Linked DNA regions of Coturnix japonica. The protein of the gene in region 1 interacts with the protein of each later gene in a biochemical or structural test. Links are inferred from orthologs where the notes say so. Each region holds a gene or a part of one and is shown in the gene's direction. Other genes may lie near its edges. The genes, in order: UBE2N, RNF111, PRKN, RNF4, AURKA, RNF168 and TRIM63.

What was found.
Region 2: the proteins of UBE2N (region 1) and RNF111 form a complex in vitro, tested with the Homo sapiens proteins (4 studies listed by BioGRID). The link is inferred for Coturnix japonica from reciprocal best matches to the Homo sapiens genes UBE2N and RNF111.
Region 3: the proteins of UBE2N (region 1) and PRKN form a complex in vitro, tested with the Homo sapiens proteins (6 studies listed by BioGRID). The link is inferred for Coturnix japonica from reciprocal best matches to the Homo sapiens genes UBE2N and PRKN.
Region 4: the proteins of UBE2N (region 1) and RNF4 form a complex in vitro, tested with the Homo sapiens proteins (2 studies listed by BioGRID, with this or other methods). The link is inferred for Coturnix japonica from reciprocal best matches to the Homo sapiens genes UBE2N and RNF4.
Region 5: the proteins of UBE2N (region 1) and AURKA form a complex in vitro, tested with the Homo sapiens proteins (3 studies listed by BioGRID, with this or other methods). The link is inferred for Coturnix japonica from reciprocal best matches to the Homo sapiens genes UBE2N and AURKA.
Region 6: the proteins of UBE2N (region 1) and RNF168 form a complex in vitro, tested with the Homo sapiens proteins (2 studies listed by BioGRID). The link is inferred for Coturnix japonica from reciprocal best matches to the Homo sapiens genes UBE2N and RNF168.
Region 7: the proteins of UBE2N (region 1) and TRIM63 form a complex in vitro, tested with the Homo sapiens proteins (2 studies listed by BioGRID). The link is inferred for Coturnix japonica from reciprocal best matches to the Homo sapiens genes UBE2N and TRIM63.

Annotation. Positions count from the first base shown.
Region 1 is NC_029516.1:40,865,294-40,869,441, reverse strand, and holds the start of UBE2N (ubiquitin-conjugating enzyme E2 N), read left to right. Parts: upstream 1-1,348; 5' UTR 1,349-1,468; coding exon 1,469-1,498; intron 1,499-4,148. UniProt on the Homo sapiens protein: The UBE2V1-UBE2N and UBE2V2-UBE2N heterodimers catalyze the synthesis of non-canonical 'Lys-63'-linked polyubiquitin chains. This type of polyubiquitination does not lead to protein degradation by the proteasome.
Region 2 is NC_029525.1:5,847,861-5,851,360, reverse strand, and holds part of RNF111 (E3 ubiquitin-protein ligase Arkadia), read left to right. Parts: intron 1-988; coding exon 989-1,152; intron 1,153-2,304; coding exon 2,305-2,502; intron 2,503-3,500. UniProt on the Homo sapiens protein: E3 ubiquitin-protein ligase. Required for mesoderm patterning during embryonic development. Acts as an enhancer of the transcriptional responses of the SMAD2/SMAD3 effectors, which are activated downstream of BMP.
Region 3 is NC_029518.1:40,203,262-40,206,761, forward strand, and holds part of PRKN (E3 ubiquitin-protein ligase parkin), read left to right. Parts: intron 1-477; coding exon 478-715; intron 716-3,500. UniProt on the Homo sapiens protein: Functions within a multiprotein E3 ubiquitin ligase complex, catalyzing the covalent attachment of ubiquitin moieties onto substrate proteins. Substrates include SYT11 and VDAC1.
Region 4 is NC_029519.1:74,948,416-74,952,390, reverse strand, and holds the start of RNF4 (E3 ubiquitin-protein ligase RNF4), read left to right. Parts: upstream 1-1,175; 5' UTR 1,176-1,306; intron 1,307-3,975. Other genes in the region: CFAP99 (cilia- and flagella-associated protein 99), read left to right, coding at 1-166. UniProt on the Homo sapiens protein: E3 ubiquitin-protein ligase which binds polysumoylated chains covalently attached to proteins and mediates 'Lys-6'-, 'Lys-11'-, 'Lys-48'- and 'Lys-63'-linked polyubiquitination of those substrates and their subsequent targeting to the proteasome for degradation.
Region 5 is NC_029535.1:10,854,486-10,858,725, forward strand, and holds the start of AURKA (aurora kinase A), read left to right. Parts: upstream 1-1,440; 5' UTR 1,441-1,550; exon of another isoform or gene 1,551-1,559; intron 1,560-1,758; exon of another isoform or gene 1,759-1,845; intron 1,846-2,097; 5' UTR 2,098-2,128; coding exon 2,129-2,182; intron 2,183-3,051; coding exon 3,052-3,337; intron 3,338-3,914; coding exon 3,915-3,993; intron 3,994-4,240. Other genes in the region: CSTF1 (cleavage stimulation factor subunit 1), read right to left, coding at 32-202, 786-914. UniProt on the Homo sapiens protein: Mitotic serine/threonine kinase that contributes to the regulation of cell cycle progression.
Region 6 is NC_029524.1:3,586,311-3,590,504, forward strand, and holds the start of RNF168 (E3 ubiquitin-protein ligase RNF168), read left to right. Parts: upstream 1-1,394; 5' UTR 1,395-1,638; intron 1,639-1,669; exon of another isoform or gene 1,670-2,035; intron 2,036-2,051; exon of another isoform or gene 2,052-2,418; intron 2,419-2,542; 5' UTR 2,543-2,584; coding exon 2,585-2,885; intron 2,886-3,176; coding exon 3,177-3,253; intron 3,254-4,116; coding exon 4,117-4,194. UniProt on the Homo sapiens protein: E3 ubiquitin-protein ligase required for accumulation of repair proteins to sites of DNA damage. Acts with UBE2N/UBC13 to amplify the RNF8-dependent histone ubiquitination.
Region 7 is NC_029538.1:2,860,586-2,864,658, forward strand, and holds the start of TRIM63 (E3 ubiquitin-protein ligase TRIM63), read left to right. Parts: upstream 1-1,273; 5' UTR 1,274-1,814; coding exon 1,815-2,048; intron 2,049-2,138; coding exon 2,139-2,308; intron 2,309-3,245; coding exon 3,246-3,414; intron 3,415-3,680; coding exon 3,681-3,776; intron 3,777-3,877; coding exon 3,878-4,073. UniProt on the Homo sapiens protein: E3 ubiquitin ligase. Mediates the ubiquitination and subsequent proteasomal degradation of CKM, GMEB1 and HIBADH.

The DNA of each region.
Region 1 (4,148 bases):
TATTTCACAAGCTCAATAATGAATGCAAATGAACTCACCCTTCACCGAGGCAAGATGAGGGAATGTTATTGATGAACTCTTTGAGATCCGATTCTGCAAATGTTTGATGCATTTTTTCTTTCCACATGTCAATACATTGATTTCATCGATTTCACAGAAAGTTACACCCATAATGTTAGGAGAACAATTTAGCGTTTAAAGGGCCAAACGTGTGTACAAGAATGCACAGGGCTGGTGTTTTTCATGAGTTGATATGAAAAGTTTGTAATTACTGGTGTATTCAACAGCTGAGGAGATCAAGTTGTGTAGAACAACTATGTACCTTTTAGTAGCCTTCTCAAAAGATAGAGAAGGAAAATTTGGTAAGTTTTTGGGAAGCAATGTGGGGAGGATGAAGATTTTGGCTTAGGGGAAGCTGAGGACAGGCCTCATGGCAGCTACAGCTCCCCATGGGGAGTGGAGGTGAAGTGCTGAGCTCTGCTCTATGGGGGGCAGTGACAGGCCCCAAGGGAACAGCATGGAACTGTATCAGGGGAGGGTCTGGCTGGGAGTTAGGACGTTCTTTCACTGTGTGGTGGGCACTGGCACAAGAACATTTGGACTATATTTGCAGACACAGGGTTTGAATTTTGGGTAGTCCTTTGTTGAGCCAGGAGCTGGAGTTGATTCTTGTGGGTCCCTTCTGACTCAGGCTATTCGGTTTCCTTGATTATAAGGAGGGAGACACGGCACTTCTGACATGCTTCATGTTATTGTAACCACCATGGGTTGATAAGAATGTTTCTATCTTAGGACACAAATCAAGCTTGCAGTATTTCTGACAGGAGCATGTTGGCAATTACACAGCCCAGATTTGCCAGTGTTAGAACTGTCCATTCTACCAGTGTGTGAAAACGGCGTAGCTGATCTAAATGTCCTGTTTGTGAACCAGGACTAAAGCAATTGACAGAGAATTGTTCGTGCAGGGTCTTGTTCCTGGGAAACTGCTTCATCTTTCTGTGCTTTCATTTCCCATCTGCTCAGCAACGGTGCTGGATGCTACTGTTGCTACGTAGCTGTAGTAGGGAGCCACAGGATGCTGCGGAGGTAACACCATCCATGTAAAACACCACAACATCCATGTAAAACACCTCATCTTTACAACATTTCCCTTCCTGTCAAGGAGGAAGAGACGTGACTAACGAGCCTTTAGTATCACAAAGGTGACATGTCCTGAGACATCTCTGTGACTGTTCGCTGACACACGTTGTACCACGCTGATGAAATCCGAGCTCTGTCAGCGCGGAGCTCCGGCCTCACAGCGGGACTCGGGGCAGGACTCGCCCCTTAATGGCAGCGGGCGCGGCCTACATTGCCCGACGTGCCGCGCCGAGGGCGGCGCCACCGGAAGAGCGGAGCGGGAGACTTCCGGCTGTGTGCGAGCCCCGAGCGGAGGCGAGCCCGCGATCTTGCACCCCGACGAGACAAGATGGCCGGGCTGCCCCGCAGGATCATCAAGGTAACCACGCGTGCCGCCCCGCGGGGCCGCGAGGCACCGACCCGCGGCTCGCTCTCGCGGCGGGCAGGGTCGGGCCTGGCGCCGCTTCCGGTGCGCGGGAGCTGTGGCCGCGCGGGGCAGGGCCGCTCCCAGGCCTCCCGCATCCTGCGGAGCCGCCGCCGGGCCCGGCCAACGCGGGGTTGAATGAGAGCGGGGCGCCGCGCCGGGCCCGCCCGTCCCCGCCGCTCCCTGCTCGGCCCGGCGGCGTGATCGGGTGGCGGGGGAGCCGCCGGGGCGTCCCGGTGTGCTGTGGGCGGCTGGCGACAGCGAGGCCGTGCCCGTCGCGGTGCCCGCCCGGGCGGCGTCCCGCGGCCCTTCGGGGCTCGGGCGGCTCCGGGCGCAGTGTAAGGCTGCTACGTGCGCTCCGAGCTGCCGGCTCTGATGTGCCTCGAGCTGTGTCTGCCAGGCTTCGCTTTTGGCTTCGGCCACTTCCAGCTACACCTCGGAGGGAACTGCAGGCTGGCTCAAACGCATGGAGTCACTCGGCACAGGCGCAGGGAGCTGCGTTGCAATGCAGTTCGTCTTGCTGATGATTTGGTCCTGTAGCCGATGTGAATGCTTCCTGGGTTGGCATCCTCGATCCTACTCGGTTTGCAGTATGTGGTTTGCAATCTCAAATCGGTGCTCACCGACTGCTCTTGTTGAAGTTACTAAACGATTCCAGTAAGATTCATTAGTTGGTTAGTGGTAGCACTTGTTTCATTTCCACCTGAATGAATGTCACAACTTGCAATAATGCTGCAAAGCTCTTCTTGGTTGAGCTTGCAAAGTTGGCAACCATTGTAAAACACAAGAACACAATGTGTTAACTAGCTGATGCAAAAAATAAAGATATATATATATAAGTCAGTATATCTATATCTACCTATCTATATAGCAGATGTTAGAGGAGATGGGATAAAAATTCAACAAGATTTTTTTTGTGTATGAAAACAGCTGAACTGTGACTGATGCTCAGAAATACAGGCAAAATAACGTGTCAATCTTACAGAAGTGAGTTTGGTCGCCCTGTTGCCTTGGTGCGCAGCATACAGTGGTGAATATATTTCAGGTCTGAGGAAATCTCGTGATATAGCAGAACTGGTGTTTATTGTAGAGATGTGGTGAGAGATGAGTTGTGAAGCTGATATGTCCGTGTTAGATTTTGCTGTAGGTTTTGATAGTTTTCTGGCCAAGCTAGTCCATACATTTCATTCTTAGCACCCTTGTTTCTTCTTTCTTAGCTTCTTAGGGAAAACCTAGAGCAATGCATGAAGCTCGTTTCCAAGATAGAGGATGGTATGAGAATGTTGCTCTTGTCCCTGGGGATAGACATCTGAATACCCCAAGCAGAGACCTAAATGGTCTAGATTTTCTCCAGCAGAGTCTTGCTTGGAATATTTCAGTGTTGTCTGTTGCAGGGTGGTGCATATTCTGGGCTGTCTATGTCCAGGTATGCACTGTAGGATGTCTGCAGACAGTTCAGGGCCTTTGAGTCTTGAAATGGGTGACCGTTTCTGTAGCTCCTGTGCTGTGCATACGTGAGGTCATCAGCGCTATGTATGGTCTAAGACTTGAACCTGACTAGTATTGCAGTCTTGAATGTGTAAGGTAATATTTGAAAGTATCACAGCTGCAGAGTTGAAGATCTAGGAACGAGCTTCATGAGTCTTGAATGAGGGCTGTTTTGATGCTTGCTACTGATCTTAATGTTGGAGTTAAATATCCTATTGCTGCTTGTCGTAGTTGGAGGGGAGTAAATGAACTCAGTGAGAATTTGAAAGATGAGGAAAGGAAATAGAAGAGAGAAAGATAGATGACAGAAAAGGGCTGTAGAAGGTTGAAATAATTCTAGTAACAAGTTGCAAATTTGATAACTAAATGCTTTGGGTTACTGCTAGGAGTAGTAGTAGGAGGGAAGGAGAAGACCTTTTCCCTTTGATCCGCGTGTGGCCTTTGTGTGGTCATCTGAGGGAAGCACAGCGATAGCTGTTGGGGTCTAGCAGTGTGTGTGCACCGTAGCAGAACCCAGCTAAGGGCTCAAAATGCAGTTGGCATTCCTCATCTTGATGGACTGCTGGCAGATGGCCTGGCTCTCAGGTTGACTAGCGGCCTGTGCTCTCCAGCCTGCTTCTCAGCTCTGTGCAGACTGTCATCCAGCCCAGCAGGAGAGCTCTGGCTTTCCTTGTCTCAGCAGAGAGCTCTATTTATATTTTCAGTACTTCTCCACGCTCATTTAAAAGGTGTCAGTATAGATATTGCAAAGCATTTTTTACAGGAGATAAAGGATTACTCCTGGCTCGCCGTCCTCAGATTACTTGGAAGGACAGGCTTTAAACAAGTGGGGTGAATGATCTGTAAGCTCAGGAGATGACTCGCTTTAGAAGTATGGCTTATGGTGTTAGCACATCACAGATGTTGAGTAGAAAATGTGATAGATGTGAATCCTTAAATCAGATGTATAATTGGAACTGGAGAAACACTGTGAACTATTTTGTTACTGCACATATTTAAGGAGTGAATCTTTGCAAAGTACCCAGTAAGCAAACCCAGAAATCTTCATTTTCAAATGTTTGTTAAACCAATTATTTCCTGTGTTGCAATGTCATGTTGCTCCAGTAGAGTAAGGAAT
Region 2 (3,500 bases), on another chromosome or scaffold:
AAAATGGCTTGCTAGAGAAGTGAAAGGAATACAGGCAGAATAGAAGTGTTGACTGAACTCCATGGTGATTTGTGCAGTGGGTTTTGTTTGTTTTTGTTTTAGTCATTCCCTTTTCTTCACTGCTGAGTTACTGAAGTTTGAGTATGTTGTTTTTCCAAATTGGAAAATGGAGCTATTTGGTGTGTATAGGAGAGTCGGTGGTAAATATCCTGCAGTGAAATATCACTTTCCTAATTAAAGATAGTAATCTCTTAGCTTAAACTTCAAAGCATCATTGATTTGAGCATTCGGATTGGTATGACTAAATTAAGTAGAATGTCTGCAGGAAAAAAAAAATCACCCATTTCCTTAGGAATGGTACAGGCGTAGGATTTCCTTTTCTCAGGCTGCATTTCACTTGAGCTTTGTTAAATGTTACACAAAGCTGTGTTTATTCTTAGAGGGGACAAGGGAAGTAATATTCACAAGATAAATGTCCAAAGCAATCTCTGGACCTTAAAAGTTCAGAAATGATCCTCTGAAAACACTGCCACAAATTAATACTCAGAAGGACTTAATTCTTACAGGATTTTATCATCTTTGCTCTTCTATCACCATTCATAGATCTGCTGTTTCAGACTGCATAGGGGTAGTGTAGAATTCAGAGTGTCTTATATTTCTCTAACAAAGTAGTAACATTAGGTATAGCTACTGCATGACTGATGCTGTAGGGTTTCACAGTTTGTTGTTTTTTTTGTTAATAAAATACCAGTACTTAGTTCATAGGATTACATGTTAGACACTTTCCATTAAGTTATCTGGTAAAGTCTAAAATAGTGCTTCTAAATACCCTGCCATGCCACATTCACTAGACTTGTATTTCAGCATAACCAAAATGCTTTTTTGTTATTAAAAAAGGGGGAAAAAATGAAATAGCTTCTGAAACATTGAGGAGAAAAAATAGTAAATGTAAGGTTTGAGTCAGTACTTAAGGCGATGTGTTTTTAAGGTCTCGTTCAACTCTTGGACATTCAAGATCCCAGTGGGGACAAAGCTCTAGTACTCATGCTGCACGGCCTCAAGAACAGCGGAACCGCAGCAGGATTTCCACAGTCATACAGCCACTGAGACAGAACGCTGCAGAGGTAGTGGACCTTACGGTGGATGAAGATGGTAAGTCACATTGGTCTCTGAAGTCTCTTCCTTTTTTAGGAGCGAGATGATCAGTGGAGCATTAACACTTTAACTCCCAGTGTGCTACATGATGATATGATGCAGGATATCGGTAACCAAAAGTTATAAAACCATGACAAATGGAATAGGATAGAATTCTATTAACCCTGTTGTACCATTTAGCGGAAAAACTTTGTGTAATAGTAGTCCATAAAGAACTGAGCTAGTAAAGCACGCTCTATGCTTCTGAAATTGTAATGTTCTGTGGTTTCCTACCATTAAAATCCACTAAGTTTGGCATTCAAGCTTAGTGATGATGATAATTGTCAGAGCAATTTCCAGGCATTATCAAAAGCTGTGGAAGAAGTCTGAATCTGATGTGGTGGTGGTGGTTGTTTAGAAGGGAGTATGTATTAACTTTTAAAAGGAACTTTCATTTGTGACAGTTCCCTCTCTGAGTGTGTCAGAAGCCAGTGTCTTGCAACACGTATTTTTACTAGAAAAAAAGTGATCATCTTACTACGTCTTCTATTCTTAGGCATGTCATTACTCTGTCAGTAATAAGAAATTTCAAATATAGTCAAAAGCAGATTTTTTGAAACTGAATTTGAATTGCGCCTCAAAATATCTTTTAAAAAAAATGTAGCCTGTGCACAGACGTGTGGTCGAGAGCAGCATTTATCAAGTAGTGTATTTTCCCTCATCCTGTAAAATGTATTGACTGCTTAATGTGTATTGAGACTAGAAAAAAAGTTTATCTTGCTGGTGCCTGTAATACAGTGTGTCAAGAATGGCTGAAGCTTATAAGGCAGTTCAGTTAGTTTAGATGTTTTACAACCTTGCTTAGTTATCCAAAAGCTTTCCTGTGCTTTGTAGGCATTGGAAGGTGGTAAGGAGTCATAGAATAACGTAATCATAGAGTAGTTTGCCTGTTATTTATGAAAGACTTCAGGAAATATGTGAGCATATGTGCACACACAAGTTAAACAATTAACTTTTCGATTTTATACTCATTTTTATATTCTGACTTTCTCAGCACCTGGCAAGACTAGCATGTATTGTATGAATTTTAAACCTACAGATATCAATTTAAAAAAATCTTAACAACTTTGAAAGTTTACAGAACTTGAAAACTTTTCTTTTTCCTGCCAGAGCCAACAGTTGTGCCAACCACGTCAGCTAGAGTGGAGCCGCAGGTCGTGAGTTCTGCTTCCAGTAACAGTTCTAGTACGTCTACCTCAGAGCAGGCCTCTGATGCAGCTCCAAACGTCTCCACTAGCCAGCCCTCTGCAGCACCAGAGACAACTTCTAGTCTTCCCAATAGCAGCACTGCTGGTACTTCAGCTGGAGGTACAGAATAAGAGAGCTTTCTAAACTGGTTTATTACCTGCCAGGTACAAGGGCAGTAGAGGAGGTTAAACAGATAGCGGTGAAAAGTTAAGAGTGACTGTGAAAAGCGGAGAGGAAAAGAATCTGGAAAAGATGACTGATTTCATAGAAACACAGGATGTCAGCAGTTAGAAGGTACCTTGAAAGATCACCTAGTCCTGTCCTTCTGCTGGAGCAGGAACACCTAGATTGGGTCCAGGAATGCGTCCAGGCAGGTTTTGAATGTCTTCAGAGAAGGAGACCCCACAACCTGTCTGGGCACCCCATTCCAGTGTGACATTAATCTCACCATGAAGATATTTTTTCTCACATTTATGTGGAACCTTTTGTATTCCAGTCTGCACACATTGCCCCCTTGTCCTGTCATTGGATGTCACTGAGAAGAGCCTGGCTCCATCCTCCTGACACACATCCTTTACATATTTATAAACATTAATGAGGTCACCCCTCAGTCTCCTCCAAGCTACTCCCTTAATCCTCTTTGTGGGTTCTGGACTCTCTCAAGCAGTTCCTTCTTCTTGAACTGAGGGACCTAGAATGGGACACAGTATTCCAGATGTGGTCTAACCAAGGCAGTGTAGAGGGAGAGGAGAACCTTCTAGACCTACTGACTGCAGCCCTTCTAATGCACCACAGGATGCTATTGGCCTTCTTGGCCACAGGGGTGCAGTGCTGGCTTGTGGTCATCCTGCTCTCCACCAGGACCCCCCAGGTCACTTTCCTTTACCCTGCTCCTCCGACAGGTCATTCCCCAACCTATACTGGTATTTGGAATTTTTCTTTCCCAGATACAAGACTCTATGCTTGCCTTGTTAAATTTCATTAAATGTCCCCCTGTCCAACTCTCCAGACTGTCTAGGTCTTGCTGGATGGCAGCACAGCCTTCTGGCATGTCAGCCACTCCTCCCAGTTTTGTGTCATCAGCAAACTTGCTGACAGTGCACTCTATTCCCTCATCC
Region 3 (3,500 bases), on another chromosome or scaffold:
ATCACCACAGAAGAACAACAGGAAAAAAGTACACAATATCACAGGGACGACTCAATATATAATCTCCTATCCAGGCTGGACAGGCCTCCTTCTTCATACTCAAACTTCTCTGGAGAAGTGAGAGGAAGCGTTCACAGCCTCGTGAACATCGACATAGAAGTCTACACAAAGATAAGACTCTCCGGTTTTTCGCGAGAAAGCACTCATACTCTCTCTGTTTGTATCGAATGTTACACATTAAATAACTAATATATAATTGTGTTAATTTGTATTTCAGAATATCATACATTAGAATAAAATAGTTTTCCTTCCTATAACGATTGTCCAGCTAGTTTCTAATCCCACTCCACTTTTCCCCCTCACATTCGGCCCGCAGGAGGAGTGGAGTGGCTTCCCCTGTCACGGGCATAGGTAAATCTAACTAACCCGTGACAGCCACAATTAATTATTTACTAGGATTTTGGTTTTGTGTTGCAGAATTGTGACCTGGTCCAGCAAAGCATCGTTCATATTGTTCAGAATCCACAGAAGAATAGTGATAAGGATGAGACTGAAGACAACAATACTGGAGGCATTCTAAAAACGTTGGAAAGAGTACCTGAAAGTCTAACTCGCATAGATCTCAGTTCCAGCATCCTCCCGTCGCTGTCTGCAGGGTTGGCTGTTATTCTGGATACTAAAGAACCCAACATTTCCCCTCCGTCTGAAAAGTCAGGTAAATCAGTTATTTGGTACACAGAGTCATAGAATCATTTAGAAGGGACTCTTAAAAGTCATCTAGTCCAGCTTTCCTGCAGTGAAGAGGGACATATACAGCTAGATCAAGATGCTTAGAGCCTGGTCCAGCCTAACTTTGGATGTCTCCAGAGACAGGGTATTTTAATGCTTAAACAAAAAAATTATGTTTCTTTATTAGAGTGAGCAATTCTATACCACAGACAAAAAGCATAACGTATTGTTTCTTTTAGTTTTCAAACAAAAAATGCAACTAAGAGATGCTAAACAGCTGACACATCTTCTAATAACATAATTTTGCTTTATGGATAAAGTCAATGATTTCTTTTCTTAGTCTTTTCTCTAAGAAGTTATCATCAACAATAAAAGCACCAAAAATACACAAAAATGCAGAAGTCTATTGGCAAGCAAAAATAATCCCTCTAAAATTTCCATTACTGAAGCTTCCTTTACTAGGATTCTTGGAAGCTTTTACACTGGAAATATGTTTAATAGTCTGTTGTAATGTTTTCATACCCATGCATTTTATAAAAAACATTTCTATACAATGGGCTTCTTATTTATAGAAACATAGTTGGCACAAAAGATGATGATGATTCATACTGTGGATTTGAGTAGTTCTTCACCCACCAAATTATTACTGAGAATACTTTTTCTTCATCATAAGAAATTGTCTGAGGCACAAATTACATCACAGTCAAATGGATTGTTGTGTAAGGTGCACGGTTGGACTAGATGATCTTATTGGTCCTTTCCAACCTTGTGATTATATAAATCTTTCTATGGTAATAATTAAAATGGTTCTGTAGAGATGTGTACAAAAGACAGAAATACAAGAATGTTTTAGATAATACTTCTCAGATTAACCCTCTCCTACAGACACAGTCTAACTAACCCTCATTGAATGCTGTGTTTGTCTCCAAGGAAGAAAAATCGTTTTGTGGAATACCAGACTCTGAGTGGTGATTTGTGGTAATGGTCTACCAAAGATGTATTTTTAGAATGATTGATATGGATGATAGTAGCAAGCACAGAGGTCCAGGGTACAGAAGGGAGTTTGTAAATATGACACAGACATACTTCTGTAACTAACCTGACCACAAACATAATCGTGCTTAACTGAACAGCTACTAAACTGTTAGAATAACTTTATAGAAAATTTCTTAAGTAACTCATGCCAAAAAGAAATGGAAGGGTCAGAGAAGTGTTCCACAACTGACTTGATCAAACTCTCACTGCCAGCTGATGATGAATGAGTGCAGTTTAGGAGCAAATTAGTGCCCAGCTTAATGATCCACATCTCTCATTCTCCATGAATAATGAGATAAGTGGGGTGCATGCCAATTTAAATCTGTTAAGGTAGGGACAGAGTTTCAGGCTGGGCCTTCTAAGTCAAGGCAATGGTGCTAGATCCTTATTGCTTTTTCAGTACTGTGCATGATATTTACATGAAATTAATAGTAGCGTTTGACTTTACAGAATAGTTTATACACATGTAAGGCATTTTAAAATGTGTTACACAGTGCATTTTTCCATAGTCTGCAAATTCTGTGAGGTCTGCAGATGGATAGATAGGTATGTTCTGTTGCAGCAAATCTTTTCACAGCAGAAGGACAACTGAGGAAAAAATACTGAGGAGTATATGTGGTCTAGTTTTATCTGTGGTTAAAAGAGATTTTTCTTTTTATTTTTTTGTCGTAAGGGAAAAAACAGTTTCCTGTAATGACTGATAGGTTCTGCCCGCAAGGATGTTAGTATGTTTCTTTTTAAAAGCTTGTTGTCTTCTCCTTGGTTTGCTATGACTTTCACAATGAATACTTGACCTTGCCACTGCTCAGCTCTACTACTTCTGTTCAATATGGAGGATTTTTATGTCTTTGTTGTTTCTGGAAGTTGAGGTGGGTTAATGTGCAGTCACATTATTCACTGAGATGAGTACTGGTCTGGGTTATAAATGATCCAGCAAGAACAAAAAAAATAAATAAAATATGAACCCAGAGATGATATTTTTTTAGTCAACTCTTCTGTGTAGTAACATTTGCCTTGACACAGTTGTGATGAGTAAACAATAGTGGGAATGAGTAGCTGAAGGATACATATGTCATTACTTCTGTTTTAAATACCTTTAAAGCCATTCTGCTAGAAGGTGGATGGTTGTGATTAACCTAAATGAAAAACCTATGCAGTAAAACCAAAAATTATTATTTTCCGTGTGTGAAATCACACACAATGAACAGGGGGCAATTTAAACCTACAATTTAGAGGCAGATGATTAATTGATTACTATTTTGTCTAACATGCTAATCAGCTATTCTGTGGTTGCAGAGATAACCACTTCTCTTTCAGTAGACCAAGTTATTTCTGCTTGTTAACATAAAATGGTGACCCTGTGCCCCTTAACCAGCTTTTGTTTTATTTTGCCCGCCTTTGAATTATAAGGAAAATGGATTGTGGTTAACTTTTGCATGGCAAAAGATTCTCTTAGAAGCTTCTCTTATAAGCTTTTGCATCATTTGAGTGGAAGGATATTATTTTTGAAGTGCTGAATTGGAGATAAAAATTTACCAGATAATCCAGGAGAGAAATCATTATTTTGTACTGCTGTTATGCATGTACACTTATGCAATGTACATTTACAGTATGAATTGGCACATTTGACTAGATAAATGCCCTTATGGCCTGCCATCCTGTCTCAACTAAGGGTCGTTATTTGCTCCTTGCAAAAGAGCACAAACGGACATTTTCTCAGCTCATCCCCCTCCTTA
Region 4 (3,975 bases), on another chromosome or scaffold:
CTCCTTGCAGTGGAACCGTTGGAAAGAACTGGAAGAGAGTCGGGGAAGGCGGTTCAAGTCTCTTCAATACGGTTTAATGGCCAGAGAAACAGCCGAGAAAATGGCTGCGTACGTGGCAGCAAAAAGCGGAGCCACATCGTGTATCCTGCGCTCCGAAGTAAAATAAAGTGCACTTGGAACAAACCCAGGCCTGCTGGAAGTCTCCCAGAGCAACTGTGTATCACAAGGTTGAATTTTAATCTTTATTTGATCTGTACCATTTTAGTAGCAAAATTTGGGTCATTCAGACATGGTAGAATGGAAACGTGTTAATTTTTTATACTGGAATTTTAATTTTGTAGCTGTAACGTTACATTTTCTTCCTATTAGAATGAAAAGCTGTAAGAAACCGAGATGGCCAGTGTCTGGGTAAGAACACTGAGATCCATATTACTGCTGTCACTGTGCCATGAGTTGCTGTGTTCATTTTCCTGAAGAATAAAAATGGGGGCAGAAAAAAGGCAGTACTTGTTTACATCAGCATTTTTTCAGCAGCATGTTTGGCCCAGGTTCCTAACACATCTTCTGACGTGACAGTAACTGCGTGTAACAAGATCACCAGCTTCAATACTGGTTTTAGAGGGTGCAAGGAAATCATTTGGAAGGTTGAGATGACAGGACAGCCCACAGGCTGCATTCAGCACCCCAAGAGACCATCCCTCTGTTTGCAGTCTGCTCAGTGTTTAAACAGTGGAAGGAGCACATAACACTGCTGGGTCTCTTTAGCTTCTTTTCTCTTTTCTGCTTCCAGAAGACAGAATTCTGCTACTCACCTCGAAGATCATTTGCCCTCTATGACAATTTCTATACTGTAAAACAGCCCTTAAATCATGAGACTTATTCTAGGCACCTGGCCAAGGAGGATATAAATCTGCATTAGAATCTGCAGAGCAGTGAGACGACGTAATGTATTTCTATTTGAACGTGATGCCAGTTACTAAGTGTTTAATTAAGGCGATGGCAAATATTTAAATGGAAGGAAAACGCCGCTGACATTGGAGCCGTGCAGCTGCTGTTAATGCTCTCCCAGCATTACATTCTCCCTTGTTTCTGGTGGAATTCTTTGTTGCCATCTAGCTGCCGAGATCATTTCCACATCCTTCCAGCTGAACTACATGTCCCGGCGGGCACGGGCCGGGATGGAGGCGGGGCCGTGATGGATCCACCCCCGTGACGTGCGGCCGCCATTCCCCGCACCGCCGGTGCAGCCAATGGAGGGAGGGCGGGGGAGCGCCGCGCTGTGCCGTTACCGCTCCGACGGCGGAAGGTGAGCGGGGCCGGGCGGGTCGTGCCGCTGAGCGGAGCCGGGCTCAGGGTGAGGGGGGGCGGGTGAAGGCCGCGTTAAGCTGGGGCGGCTGCAGGCCGCGATGGGGGCAGGGCGGCCGGGTCCAGGCCGGAGTGGGCCTGTGTGTGTGCGGAGCGGTGCGGCCTTGTCCGCGGATCGGCAGCTTCGTTCCCTCCCAGCCGAGCCTGAGGCCTCGGGCCCGGCCTCCCAGTGCTGCATGAGCTGCTGCCGCCCGACGATGGGAGCGGGGCCCTGCGCCGTGACACGGCGCTGCGGGGCGGCTCCTCCCGAACCGGGCCGCGTCCGTCCGTGTGTCTGGGCCTTGTTGAACGCGAGCTGCGGCCTAACGACGGGAAAACCCTGCGAGGGAGCTGCACAGAGCTCGTGTAATGAGCCGACAGCGTCGGGTTTGGTTGGCGCTACAAAGTGGGTCAGGCGGCCAAATGGCAGCTCAGGCTGCGTTCCCGTGGCTGTGCTTTGTGGTCTCATGGTCAGTGTGTGCGTGGTGCCCGGGCTGCAGCTGGGCCGGGGGGCTTGGCTGCTTCTCCTCATGCCGAGCTCCTGGGGCACTGCGAGGCCGAGATGGGGAGATGGAATCCATTGGTGTCTGCTATTGGTGAACTTTGTGTATTGCATCCGGAGGAAAAGCAGGGCTGGCTCTGAAGACACCGGAGACACACGGCTGAGGTTCGCAGTGTCCTCTGGCTCAGCCCTGATAGAGCTGGAGGTCCAGGCAGCTTTTGGAGCACCACCCTGCCCAAAAGGACCTGGGGGTAACGGAGGATGGAGAGCTGGACATGAGTCAGACATGAATAAAGATTTAGATAAGATATAGGGAAGAAGGGTTTTTTTGCTGCCTGGTGGGAAGGGGAGCTCTCAGGCTCCAGATTATGCCTCTGGGCCTGGCCCTGAGCACCACTGCGAGGAGAACCACAGAGCTTATTTTTTTCTATGGGCTGTTGGGAGTGCACTGAGAGGGCTTAATAAGAGAGGAGGTGAGGAAGCACATTTGAAGGCGCAACCTGTCCCGCTCTGACAAATCCTCATTCTAGAATCTGGAACTGATTATGTTACAGACATAATAGATGACTTTGTTAATGGCTGCAGCTGGAGCTTTGGATGCTTCTGGTTTGGGGTTGTACCCCCAGTGCCTGCTCGTGCTGTTGGGTGCTGGTTGAGCAGTGTGTGCTGGAGGGGATCTCACAGCCCTTATGGGTTGATGTGGGTGTCTGGGCCTGTGAGTGGTCCTGGGGCTTTGAAAGCCTTTAGGTGCTAATCAGTAAAAAGGTGCCTAAACGAGCAGGATTTGTAGCTGTTAATTCTATTCTTATGTAATGGTAACTTGATCTGCGTTGTACCAAAGAAAGTAAGCTTGGCTTCATTTTTCCTCCTCTTTGTGGTATGGATAGTTACCACTGGGGGAAGCTTCCTGAGTAAGCCAGGAACCTACTGTAGAAATCTGCAGCCACACAGAAGAGGTTTGTTCTTATACAGACAGAAACATTGCCAGGTCAGGAGGCGTCATCCACAGCAGTAACAAGCTCCAGCAGTCTGCTTTCCCTCAGTGGATGCTGCTGGATTTTCCCTCTCTGGGTTTTACAGCAGTGGGCTCCCCATGGATATCCATCCTCAGCTTTCCTCTTGAAAGAAGCTCCCAGAGAAGTTCAGATTTAAGCCCTTAGCAGACTAGAATGGGGCAGGAGCGTTGGGGTTTTGTGTAGGTTCTGTATTAAGCATAGATACATCAGGTTGCCGTAAGAGACTCCAATGAAAACAGTTCCAGCTGTTGGTAATTTTAAAGCTTGTATGAAGATGAATTCCTTGTGATCCTCAGATACGTATGTCGGTATTCCCCAGTCTTTTATTCTCAAAGTATTTTTCCAGCTCTATATCAGAGGAGAGCTGAGGAAGTTGTAGCTTGGCTTTCTGGGTTAAGCTGAGAGGTGGTGGGAAAGCTTCATTCATTGGGAGGTGAATCTCAACCTGTAAGCAGTAGGATGAGGTGCACACACTGCGCCTCGATACAGAATGGAATGGAACTGAGAAGGGTTGTGTGGCTGAGTTCTGTGTGCAGGGAGCGTCTTTTGGGCTTCCTGCATTGAGTACAGGCAGTGAAGTGTGTGAGTCAGAGTCGGTTCAGCAGTGCTCAGGTGTGTGCCCGTGTTTGTACCCAGAAGTGTTAGGAACTCACTGGGTTGCAGTTGTGCAGATATGGGGCTGTTCAATGAGCCACAGCTGGCACCTTTCATAGCCAGAGCTGTGAGCAGAGAGCTCAGCCCTGCAGGGACAGTGGGGCTGGGTCATCCAGCAGCTGGCTGCCTGCTGAGCAGGGCTCAACCCCTGCCATTGTGAACAGTGGTGTTTCTTGGAGCCTTTCTACACAGCCATTTCTGTTCTCCACATTTCGAGCTGCTTAGCTCCCACATTTTGATCTAGCTGTGGTTTGGAGAATAGAGGACTGCTTATCTGTAATTTTTGTTCTCTAAGGATGGCTTCTTACAGCATGAATCCTGGTTATTTCTGCCCCCACACAAACATTACCTTCAAATAATAGGTTGTTTTTTCAGATAAAGCTTAATTGGGACTCCTTATATCTTTCTGATTTGCTGCTAAACGCCAGAGTAAGTTTAACTAAGAAACAAGTGAGCCTT
Region 5 (4,240 bases), on another chromosome or scaffold:
CGGAGAACGACACGAGGCCGCCGGTACCTACCGACCCTTCCTTCTGCCTCCCTCGCTCTGCCCCTAAAATGGCGACCGGAGCTCTGAGCGCATCGATCGGCGGCGGCGGTAAAGGAGGAGGCGGCGGCGGCGGCCGAGACCGAAGAACGCTCCTCCGCGAGGGCTGCTGCATCGAGCGCCCGCACATCGATTGGAGCCGACTCTTAGGGGAGAGAACGGCGGCGTCACGTCACCGGTGACGCGTTAAGGACGCGACGGGCCGCTCTAACAGGACCCCTGCCTTGTTAAAGGACCCCCCGCCCGGTGGGGAAGGGGCGGGCTGCAGAGCGGAGCCCAGCGGGGATCCCGGGATCCAACGCCCCCTCCACCGTGGCTCGGACCCGGTTGCAGCCCGTGGGGTGACGTGTCGGGCAGGGCACAGCCTCGAGCAGGCCCAGGCGGCCCGTAGACACACAGAATGACCCGGGTTGGAAGGGACCTCAAGGATCACGTAGTTCCAACCCCCCTGCCTGGCAGGGCCACCAAACATACACCTTTACTAGATCAGGTTGCCCAGTACCGCCCCGTGCTGCCCATCGGAGCGTAGAGCTGCTATGAGCACCGCAGCTGGGGGCTGCGAGTCTGTGTTTGGGCTACAATACCCGCACGGTGCTGCCGGACACCGCAACACCTGCCATGGGGCACCACGGCACACAGGCCTCACGAGTGTTTAGGGCCGCCAGCTCAGCCAGCTCAGCCCCTTCCATGTCCCACCGCCACCCAACCCACAGCCCCGTGCTACTCACGTCAGCCTCCAGAAACGGCAGCCGTAGCGGCCGCGGGTCGAGCAGCGGAGCTGCCATGCTCCCCATACTCCCCATGCCCCGCGGCAGCTGCCGTCGGTCACACGCTGCAGCCACGCGACGACCGGACATCTTCTTTTTCCCTATGGTGTCCCGCTTGTCGACACCAACACACCGGGACCGCCCTCGAGCCGGGTCGTTAAGGACGCGGAGCCGCTGATAAGTTGCCTTCAATACCTTCAATCGCTTCTTCAGGCAGCGGGTCCCTCAGTGCTGTGAGACAGAGCAGCACCACGAGCCGCTCCGCAATGCACGAGCAGCACCGGGCGCTGTGCAGCCAACAGCCGGGCGTCCCCTCGTGCTGAGCTGGGTTGGTGCCCCCTTAAGGCTCGTTAAGGGCACGTGGAGCAGCGCCGTGCGAAGCTGAGGCCTGATGCTCCTCCTGCTGCTGCCCGTCGCACCTCAGCACACAATGGCCCCCAGCTCCCACTCGGCTTCACGCGAGGTGGCAGCGCCGCGTCTCCCTCAGCCCCAGGTGACGCTGAGGAGGATCGAGGTGTGAGCCCGGCTGGATGCAGCACTAACCTGGAGCCCTTCACCCCCGAGGCCTCGTTGAGCGGGAGTTGTAGCGCTGCCACAGGTGGGTGGGCTGGACGTAACGCGATTTGCGTAACGAGAGACCGCGGCCGGGCTGAGACTTACGGAGAGAAAGTGTGTGAGCTCGATCCACGCACTTGGAGTACGGAAGAAACAAGCGGCGGACAGACGGTACGTAAAGTACGTATGTAACGTAAACGCCGCCCAAAGGGTGGGCGGGTCGGGACGACGCGGGTACGCAGCGGGCCGCCGTTGCGCATGCGCACCGCAAGCTCACGGCGACGAGTCTAGGCCTCGCGACGAGCGGGGAGTCAGGAGAGCCAATGGGAAGGCAGGTAGACTGAAAAGCGGCCAATCGGAGGGCGCGGATGCCAGGAGAGGAGCCAATGGCGAGGGGGCGGAATTTTAAAGGCTATTTAAGGGAGGGAGGTTTGAATTCAAACAGTTGTAGCGGCCGCGGGCCGAGGTGAGTGTGGGGACGGCTGGGCCGGGTCGGGCCTCGCGTGGTGCTGTGCTGTGGCCTTACCTGCGGCCTTACCTGCCTCGAGGGCGGCCCAGCCGGCGTGTGGTGTGGGTACGGCCCGGCCGTTACGGAGCTGGGGCGGGCAGGCCTAGGGGGAGGCCTAAAGTGAGGCCTAGGGGGCAAAGGGAGAGCAGCACGTCCGAGGAGTGGCGCTGCTTGGAGGCTCAGCCCTGTTCTCTGTTTCATTCTCCATAGGTGAAAGTGTATCTTGCTTTTCTCGGGCACTATGGACAAGAAGATAAAAGAGAACTGTCCTGGGAACCCTTCTCGTGTTATTAAGGTGAGAGGCTTATCGAGTTGATGGGGGTGACTGAGCTTCTGGCTGCTGTTATTAACATCCAATTATTTAATTGGGAAGTCCTAGTAGTGCAGTTTTTATCCCTAATCAACTAATAAGACAGCAAAAACATACAGGCTGTGACTTGCAAAGGACGTGCTGCCTGAATGTTGTATATCTTTGTGCATGCCTTAAGATTACATATCTTTGTATACAGAAGCACGGACATTCTTTTCTTCTAATTTAAGTATAAACAGGTCCTTGTCAGGTTTTAAAGTAGTAGAAGCATGGTTTAAAATCAGCTTTCAATGCATTGGATCAAAAAAAAAAGGAGAATATAAGTCTTCCTAGAGAGTGAAGGCATCAGTAACAGATCATTAGCATTTGAATTTAATTCTAGAGCAACTAAGCATTACTTAAATATTAGTTTAAATTTCCTTCCTCGACTGAAAGAAAAGGATTAAAAGTAGGTAAAGGAACTATCCTAAACTTGGCTTTGTTCTGATGAACTCCTGTAGTAGCGCAAGGCATCTTAAAATACACATCACTCAAGGGAACAGTGACTCAAAGCATTGTATGTGAACAGGATTCCTATAGTAAAGGCTGGTCTGAGCTTTCCACTGTTATCTACACTTTGGTGGCTCTGTGTCTAGTTATGAATAAGTATGTTGTTAATAAGACAGTAGTTTTCTACAAGTCAATTCAATTCTTAAAAAATAAGATCAGAGTAATTTTAACATCTTCTTTTAATATACTGGTTTTTTTTCTCCTCCCTATCTTTTTCTGCAACCTGTACCTAACACTGTTGTACAGGGACATAAAGGTTATAGTGTTCTATTCTATTACTAATGTGCAGTTGTTGTTTTTTGAAGGCAGCGAATCCAGTTGTGGATGGCCCAAAACGTGTCCCTGTGTCTCAGAGTTCTGCCCAGAGCCAGCCACTGAACAGTGGAGTTCAACTGCAACGTGTTCTGTGTCCTGCAAATTTTGCCCAGCGAGTTCCTGTACAATCACAAAAAAATTCTTCACTGTCAAACCAAAAACTGTCTAACAATCAGACAACACAGCAGCCCCGACCAAAACTTCCAGTCCAGCCAACTGCTGGGCCTCAGGTTCCAAGCAAGAGCAGTGAAAAACCTCAACAAGCTCCTGGACCTGGTAATTCCAAAGATGATACATTTCTGTGTTTGTGACACTCAGGAGAATTCAAACAAGAGTGCAGGACAGAAAATGTAAAGCTCACACTAACGACATGTTGGACAGTCCTGTAGAAGAATAGATGGTTGCACCCAGAAAGAGAAAAGCAGCACATACTTCATCTTAGATATTACTGTACTGTCCTTGTTGCTAGAGTTAAGGATTTAGAGGAGCTAATAGAAGTGTTCCTCCAGTCTTGAAAATTTACAGATGCTCATTAGTCAACTTTGAATACATGCAATTGGTATCCCTGCATCATGTTTTTTTCCAGTGTTCATGGTAATCTGATACACAAGAACACTGTATGAGCAGGAGGGAGAAGACTTCTTAATGTTTTCATGAGTTTCAAAAAAGCATTTGAAGTTACACTTTGATAAAGTAGCTCTAACTGCTTTGCTGCTTTGCCACTGGTAAGCTATGCTAGGTTTTAAATACAGAGGATAGACAGTAAATTGCTGTAGATACTACCCAGACTTATTCCTTGTGAATGTTTTGCATTCGCTGGTGGTTTATAGTTGTTCTATTTGATTGTATACAGCAAAGAGTTCTGAAGCAGACAGTGTCTCTAAACAGAAAAGTGAAGAGCCTACTAAAAAGAAAAAGGAAGACACTAAAAAGTAAGTTGCGGGCCTTAAAAACTTACAGCTGTTAGTTGTGCTTTCAATGTCTAGCAGTTCATGCTACAACTGAGTTGCAGCCAAGCTGCTGCCTACTTAAGCCTCTTGATTGCTAAGAACAGTGGCCTTCATAGAGACAATGTTTATTAATGAAACTCTGGGAAGGGTTACTTTGCTTTGGTAATCTTTAGGAACAATAAATTACTTTAATCTGAAGGAAAGCTTTTGGCACAAAAAGGAGCAACTT
Region 6 (4,194 bases), on another chromosome or scaffold:
CAGGAAGGGCTGGTAGCTGCACAAAGTGCTGACAGGAGCGTCGGTAACAGGAAAATCTGGTTTGTGCTCTGCTGTAGTTGTGCTGTAAGTGAGAGATTGGGAATGAACTTCCAGATATGGGACACTGACATAACACAGTGAACTGAGGCAACCTTACAGAGCATTATCTTCACAAAAACCACCACCATGATGAAAGAAGCCCAGTAAACCCTCCAGTAAAGCAAAGAATGGACAATGAGCACAAAGCGTTCCATTCCCTCTTCCTTTCTGGTAGACATGGCAAGCTCTCAACTGAGCAGGATTTATTTTCCTGCAGAGGCTGTATGAAGGAAGCTGAAACTCCAAAAGAAACCCCACCATATTTAGGATGTTAATGTAAGAGAGTGCAAAGATACAGTTTTTAATAAGGAAAACTACAGCAGATATCAAGCTATGAAGCAGTTGTTACTTGTTACTGCAGTGTTGTTACTGCTGTTTCACTAAGGTCCTCCCCTCATGCATTTGCTGAGCTGAAGAACCACCATAATAAAAGGGAAAACCAAAGCAGGAAAAGCCAGCAGAGCACAAAAGCCACTGAGGGCAGCTCGGTCTGTTCAGTGCAGTGTGTCACCACATGCATAAAGCACAGTGCGTTGAGGCCCAGATCCTAAACAAATGCTTGTTTCCCACTCCCCAGAGTAGAAAGCAGGCTGCAAACCTTGGAGACACGGTTCCAAGACTTGGATTCGAGCTTGCAGAAGCTGGCACAGAAGTTTGAGGTGCAGGCTGAGCTCCTGGAGAAGGAGAAGAGCCAGGATGCAGCGTGGATATCGGCGCTGGAGGACAGGTGGGCAGCAGGGAAGGGCCAGCACCAGCTGCACTGAGCCCTGCACCTGCAGGTATAAATACACACCTTCAGTGTGTATTTATACAGCCTGAATTACCATGTGCTATGGAAACAGTAAGGTTGGTTTGATTTGAAATGAATATTTGCGTGGTAAAGAGCCACACCACATCCCAGAGAGCAGGGATGGGGAATAAAGAACACGGATGTTCTGCCTCCCTTCTGCTAGTGAGGCCGGCAGGTTGCACTGTGAGCAAACTCTGTCACTTTGAGGTTACAGTCTGATATCACGAGGCGTTCTGCCTTCCAAGCGGGCACGCTGCGATCAGGTAGCGGAGCAGCTGTTGCTGAAGCACCGCTGTGGTGCGGGCAGCAGCCACAGCAGCCGTATAGAAACCTCCGATCCACACAGCCGGAAGCTGCAGCGGCTCTTCCTACTCGCTGCAGCCTCCCCGGAGCTCCCGCACGGAGCACAACGAGCCCAGCCTTCCCTCGGGGCGGAGCAGCTCGCGGCCGTGAGGGCGGAGCGCGGCCCGTGCAGGGCTGTGAGCGCCGGAACTAGGAGGTGAGCGCGGCGGGCTGTGTGTGTGGTGTGTGAGGCGGGGCGGTTTGGCGGGCTGACGGCAGCGCGGCCTGGCCCGGCGCGGAGCCGCGCACTTGGGAGCAGCGCACCCGTCGTCCCGCTGTATCAGGCCGGCCCGCAGCCTCCCGTGAGGATCCCCGCCCTTCTCCTGGACCCGCAGGCCTTCCTTCACCCCGCTCCGTGTGTGTCTGCCAGTCCCGGCCCTGCAGAGGTACATCCGCGCCGTGCTTTGGTACAGAGCCGTACAGCTCGCTGTCTCCATTTATCTGCCCTCTCTCCTGAGAAATAAAAGACTTGTTGTATTAAGGAAGAGCAGAACCACCAGAAGCCGCCTTCGAATGCCTCTGTCTCAGTGTCAGCTTCTTCTGTGGGTTATCCGGGGTCAAACTGTCACGGCCCCTCAGTCAGAACCCTCTGTCTTTATGCAATCACCTGAGGTTTCCTTTTTTGTCTTATTTGTTTCTTAGTTTTTGCAGCTTGAAAAATCATATCTTTGCCTCTTTTGCTGCAGGGGGTGTCTTCTGTTCTTACTTTCTGTTTCACCAGTTCTGGGTGAAGTGAAAAACCATTTGAAAAGCCATTTGAGGAGTGTTGGTGGCAGAAGGGCTGGGTGATCCCCGTGGTGGGAGGTACTGAATTACTGAATACATTGGTTACATCTGTGCTTATGTTTGTAAGACATCAAAAGCACTTTGACTTTTGCCTTCCGGCTTAAGCAAGGACTGTGGAAGATCCTTCTCTCTAAGGAGAAGCCTCTGATCCGTAGGGAGAATGTTGTATTTCACCTTGGCGTGGAGCTAAGCTGGACTCATTTGAAAGTTGATTCAGTAACTGTGATAAGATCCACCAAGCATGACCTTAGCTTGTAACTGAGAAAATAAACACGGGGAGACTTTCTTTACCTCATTGTCCCACGTTCCCATCTCCCTGCTGTACCTGTGGCAGCTCATAGGGGACTGCAGTAGGAATCCTTGCTTCACAGGGACTTCTGTTAAGACCTTCATCTTCCTCTGTAAGTCAAATAGTGACCAGCTCTCTTCAATACGCTGAGTTTTTTGTAATGTAGTTGGAAAACAGTTTTCTGGTGTAAAAGGAAAAAACAAAACAATAAACATCATGTTTCTTTCTGCTTTCAGGTCCTGCTGTTAATTTGTCTCATTCCTGAGCTTCAAGTCAATATGTCGAAGAAATCGGAGGCTCCTCTTTCTTTAGATGACTGCCTCTGCCAGATCTGCATGGAGGTCTTTGTGGAGCCCGTGACCCTGCCCTGCAACCACACCATCTGTAATTCTTGTTTCCAGCTGACAGTTGAAAATGCCAGTCTTTGTTGCCCTTTTTGTCGCCGTCGAGTCTCTTCTTGGGCACGATATAATGCCCGTAGGAATACTCTGATCAACTGGGAGCTCTGGGAGAAGATTCAGAAGAAATATCCAAAAGAATGTGAGCGTAGAATGAATGGACAGGATTTGGAAGAGGAAAGTAAGTAAAATGTGTCGCTTGTCCTGTGCTTTACCAAAGGGATTTTAGTATATATCTTTGGATGATGTGAAAGAAGATACGTGCATAGATGTGCAGTTCCAGAGCTGTCCTGTGAACAGGACTTGCCTTTTGTTTTCTGTAGCTTTTATCTGTTGTGTTTTGTATTATTTTACCTTGTTCCAAACTCGCTCCCGTGACAAGGTATGGAAATGTGAAAATATATTATTGCTGACTGTCATGCTCTTGCTTTTGTCGCTCACTCTTTTTTATTACCCCCTTCCTCTCCATTAGTTTTTGTCCCCCATCCACAACACCAGCTGAGCAAACCTGGGGAACTCAGACAGGAATATGAAGCCGAGGTTAGCAAGGTAAGTCTAAAAATGGATGGAAAAGTGCCGAATGCTTTGAATCTAGTTGTTTTAATTGTTCCCACAAAGAAGTGAAATGTTATTTAACAAGAAGAGGAAGGTATTTAAGAGGGCATTGCTGCTACAAGAACATGCTGCTCATTCCTGATGCATGAATTCCATTTTTATCCTATACTGAAGAGACTTTAAGAAGGTTACGTAGTCACAAAGTGGTATGTAAGAAGTTTCTATAGACTTTACATATAAGAAATGTTGAATAAGGGGGGGAAAAGCCAACCATACAGAGATGTGGAACTTATCAGCTAGAAGTAAACCTATCTCAGAAGGGGATTCCCCTCCTGGCTATGATGCTAAACTGCACTGCCACTGCTGGGATCTGGATATCATGTGGAAAGGAGAGAGGGAGGACAAAGTGTGTGCTCTTCAGCAAGAGCTAACAGCTATTGCTGACAATGGAAGGTGACAGCCTTCAGTTCAGATGCAGGGTTGACTTAAACTGTAAGAACGCTTGTTTATTCAGCTGTGTGTGTTGGCTTATGGATACATTTTCTTGTGGCAGTTTCAGTTTATGCCACCTTCAGGTATTGGTCAGGCTGTCGTACTGCAGGCTTAGTGTACCACTCAAAAGCGAGGCTGAAGAATAGACTTCTATTTAAGGCTGTGTTTTCTTTATTCAGAGGCTTGAGGGCTTGGAACTTTTGTAAACTTTTCTGATCAAGCACGTTCTGTGGGAAGTCCAGTCAGACAGCTGGAGTGATTTCATTTGAACTGTTCCTGTGGAAGGAGTGTTAGTGAAGAGATTCTGATGCAAAGCGTGGTGCTGTAGTAGCACCTTCATACCTTGAAAAACAATTCCTTCTCAGGTGGAGGCAGAAAGGCGAGCACATGAACAGGAAGAGAACAAAGCGAGTGAGGAATACATTCAAAAGCTGCTGGCAGAA
Region 7 (4,073 bases), on another chromosome or scaffold:
CCCCGAAGGCCACGCCCACTGACGCACCGCATTCTGATTGGCTGCGTGTATGTAGGCATTGGTGCTTATCTATTTCTTCTTTATCTATTTCCTCTTTATCTCTTTTTTATTTATCTCTTTTTTCGTTGCTTGGGGTGGGACAGCAAGCGAGCCTAGCTCCTCTGCTTCACTTTATCTGCGTGTCAGCGGCGCAGCTTTGCAATGACAGCCCCTTACCTATCCCTCTATTCGCCTATTTATTTACCCATCTATTTCTTCACCCATTTATTCACCTGCCCCATCATTGGCAGCGTCTCTGGGCTCCCCCGCTGTCCTCAATGGCAGCAGGGAGCAGATGGAGGTTGTGTTTACAGCGCTCGGGTTGGTTGGTTGGCAGCCGTGCCTGCATTGCTCGGAGCCAACTGGGGGTTGAGGAGGAGCCATTGGGGGCTGGGAAACCGAATGGGGCGTTCCAGCTCATCCTCTTGTGGGAATCCCCTTCATAAAGTCCAGCAGTGATGAGTTCAGTGGGCAGGGCCAGCAATGGGACAGGTGTGCATCCGGTCCCCCCCCCATTCCCTCCCTTACGGTGTGTATCTCAATGTACAAACCTCCTTGGAAGGTCTCCCAGTGCCAAAAAGGGGACAATGTTGCAAGATGTGCTTGGCTGGCTTCTGTGCTGTCACTTGGTTGACATGTGAGAGCCTTCCTGGAAGGAGCGTCTGGAACAGTCACAGGCTGCCCATGTCTGGGGGGTTCATCTGGGACAATATTAGAGCCCCTATAGCGTGCACCCACTGTGCTGTGTCCCTATGCATAAGTGTACTCATACAGCTGTGCACCCACGTATCCATGTGGTCATGCACCCATCTATCTGTGCACCCCTGTACCCTTTGTGCACCCAAGTAACCTCATTTACCCCTGTACTTGCATACTCATGCATCAATGTGCACCCATGCACCTGTGCACTCCTACAGCCCTCTATACAGATACCCCTGCTCCCATGTACCCATGCACTTGTGCCTCTGTGTGCCCATGGCTTTGTGCACCCACCACCCACTTACCGCAGCATCTCAGCACCCATCCCTTTGGCCACTTGCAGCACCTCCTACCCATTGGGCTCTATGGGGAACAGAGAAGCCACCTCACCCAACCCCGTCCTGTGACCCACAGCAGAGGTGTTATAATTATCCTCTCCCCTGCAGCTGCCAATATTTACAGGTCTCCCTGTGCACCGGCGCTGGGATTTGGAAGAACACCGTGTTTACTGGTGTGCCAGCTGACAGCCAGGCAATGTGATCAGGGCGGCTCCCAGCTGGGAGCAGTCTGGAGGGGCCACACTCCTGTTTTCCTGTTGATGTTTCTGGGTCAGGTTTTGCAAACAAGTGCAGGGCACAGCCGGGCATGTGGGATGTGCAGCATGGTGCTGCTGTGCTTGGGAACCCCCTTGCAGGCTGCTATATGGATTTTTGGGGTGCAGAGAAGCATGAGGAAGAGAGGGTGCACGCACCAAGCACATTTGCTGTATCCCCCAGGTGCTGCAGTTCAGCTAAAAAGCCATCAGCTGCCCTGCAGGTGCCTTTCACCCCACAAGAAGTTGCATTTTGAGGGTGCAAAGGGCAATGCAAACCCCCAGCCCGGTGCTTTTTCATCCTGACTCCCCAGCAGCATCGACCCCCCCCCAGTCTCTCGGTGTTCCCCAGCAGGGCCATACGGACAGCATGTCCCCAGCATGTCCCCAGCTTGTTTACTGCGGCCGCGCGCCTCGATTGTCACCGCCATGTGACAGCTGATACCTTCGGACAGCCGAGCCGACTCCACGTGATTGCTGGGCTATGGATAAAAGCTGCACGAGGGGCTCCGGCTCCAGAACTGAGATTGCTCTGAGGAGGAGCAGCAGTGCCGTACCAATGGATTTCCAGCCCAGCATCCTACGTGATGGCAGCCCCATGGAGAGCCTGGAGAAGCAGCTACTGTGCCCCATCTGCCTGGAGATGTTCAGCAAGCCTGTGGTGATCCTGCCCTGCCAGCATAACCTCTGCCGCAAGTGTGCCAACGACATCTTCCAGGTGAGATGAGGACCCCCCTGGACGTTGCCCTGCTCTGGGATGCTCTGCAGGGGCACCTGGGGACACCCCGATGTCCTTGTCCCCCTCCAGGCTGCCAACCCATACTGGCAGAGCCGGGGCAGCAGCATCATCTCAGGGGGCCGGTTCCGCTGCCCTACGTGTCGCCATGAGGTCCTGCTGGACCGCCACGGTGTCTACGGGCTGCAGAGGAACCTGCTGGTGGAGAACATCATCGACATCTACAAGCAGGAGTTCTCCAGGTTGGTCCTATGGGGACACAGGGGCAGCCACATCATTTTTGGGGGGGCGAGGAACCAGGGAGGCTGGCTTGGTGCTCCCCTCCCCACCTTTCCCTAACCCAAATCTCCACCTCACAATTGAGATCTCCATTCTCAACTCGAATCTTCACCCCCAACACAAATCTCCATCTCCCAGCCCAAACCTCCCTCCCAGCCTGTGCTGTTCTAGTCTGCGGTTGCTCTGTGGGGACAGGGGGACCCTAAGGGGGTGGCAGAAGAACGAATCCAGCCCCCATCCTGGCACCCTGCAGCTTTGGCTTTATGTTGAAGATAAGGGGTGTGAGGGACAAATCCAGGCTCTGCTTGTGACAGCAGGGAATGATAAGGGACAGGGGGACAGCCTGAGGGGTCTGACAGCATTACTTAGTGGCAGAGGTGCAGCAGGAGGGGGACAAACAGGGGGGTGATGTTTTTTAAAGGACCCAGACATGTGAGTTCATCTCCCCATTCTCCTGCCCCACTGTAAATATTGTTCCAGCTCCATGGGAACAGGGATGGAAGGCACGTGGCAGGTGGCAGCAGCCCCCGGGGGGGAGCTGGCGAACCCCCCAGTGGTGACTCAATGGCTGTCACCCCCCTGAGCTCCCTGGAGCCCCTGCCCGGGTCACGCGTTGGATGATAATAATAAATGCCAGCAGCACTCAGCTAAAATTAGGAGCTTGTGTAGCATCCCTGGAGCGTGGCCCCAACTGCTGCCATGCCTGATGACACACTGCTACAAACTGGGCTTACTGGGCATGCAGGAGGATAAGGCCAGGATCCGGTTATGGGGCAGTAGTTCTGCATTGGGTGGGGAGGTCACTGCTGTGGGGACGTCACCATGATGGGGACATGACGTCAATATGGTGGGGATGTCATTGTGCTGGGGATGTCATTGTGGTTGGGCTGCTCTCTCCAGCAGGCCGCTCAAGAAGGGGGAGCACCCCATGTGCAAGGATCATGAGGATGAGAGGATCAACATCTACTGCGTCACCTGCGAGGTCCCCACCTGCTCCATGTGCAAGGTCTTCGGTGCTCACAAGGACTGCGAAGTCGCCCCTCTGCAGAGCATCTTCCAGGGCCAGAAGGTGCAACATGGGGGGACATGGGGCCACAGTGGGGAATGGCCAGATCTGGGCGATGTGCTGAGCTAGGGTGGCTGCAAATAGCATTGGGATGCCTCATGGGGTATTAATAGGCAGCAGGCTGACTTTGACCAGGAGACAGGCCTATATTTAGTGCGATGCCCCCCCCTCTCAGCCTGTGGGATGGGGGCTGGATCGTGATACCCTGGCAGCACCCATCTGTGCCCTGCAGGGGTTAAAGCTGCTTCTGTCCATCTGTCCCTTCCCAGAGCGAGCTGAACAACTGCATTTCCATGCTAGTAGCGGGGAACGACCGCATCCAGACCATCATTTCCCAGCTGGAAGATTCCTGCCGCAGCACTGAGGTGAGGGACATGGAAACATCCCCCCAGAAACCAAGTGCTGGGGGAGGCAGCCCCTGAGCAGAGGACACAGGGGCTGGAAGGACACATCTTTGTCCCCATAGGAGAACAGCGAGGCGGCCAAGCAAGAGCTCTGCTCACGTTTTGATGCGTTTATGGCTCTGCTGGAGGAGAAGAAGACGGAGCTACTGGGACGCATCACCCGTGAGCAGGAGGACAAGACAGGCTTTGTGCAGGGCCTCATCCACAAGTACAAGGAGCAGCTGGAGAAGTCCAGCCGGCTGGTGGAGACGGCCATCC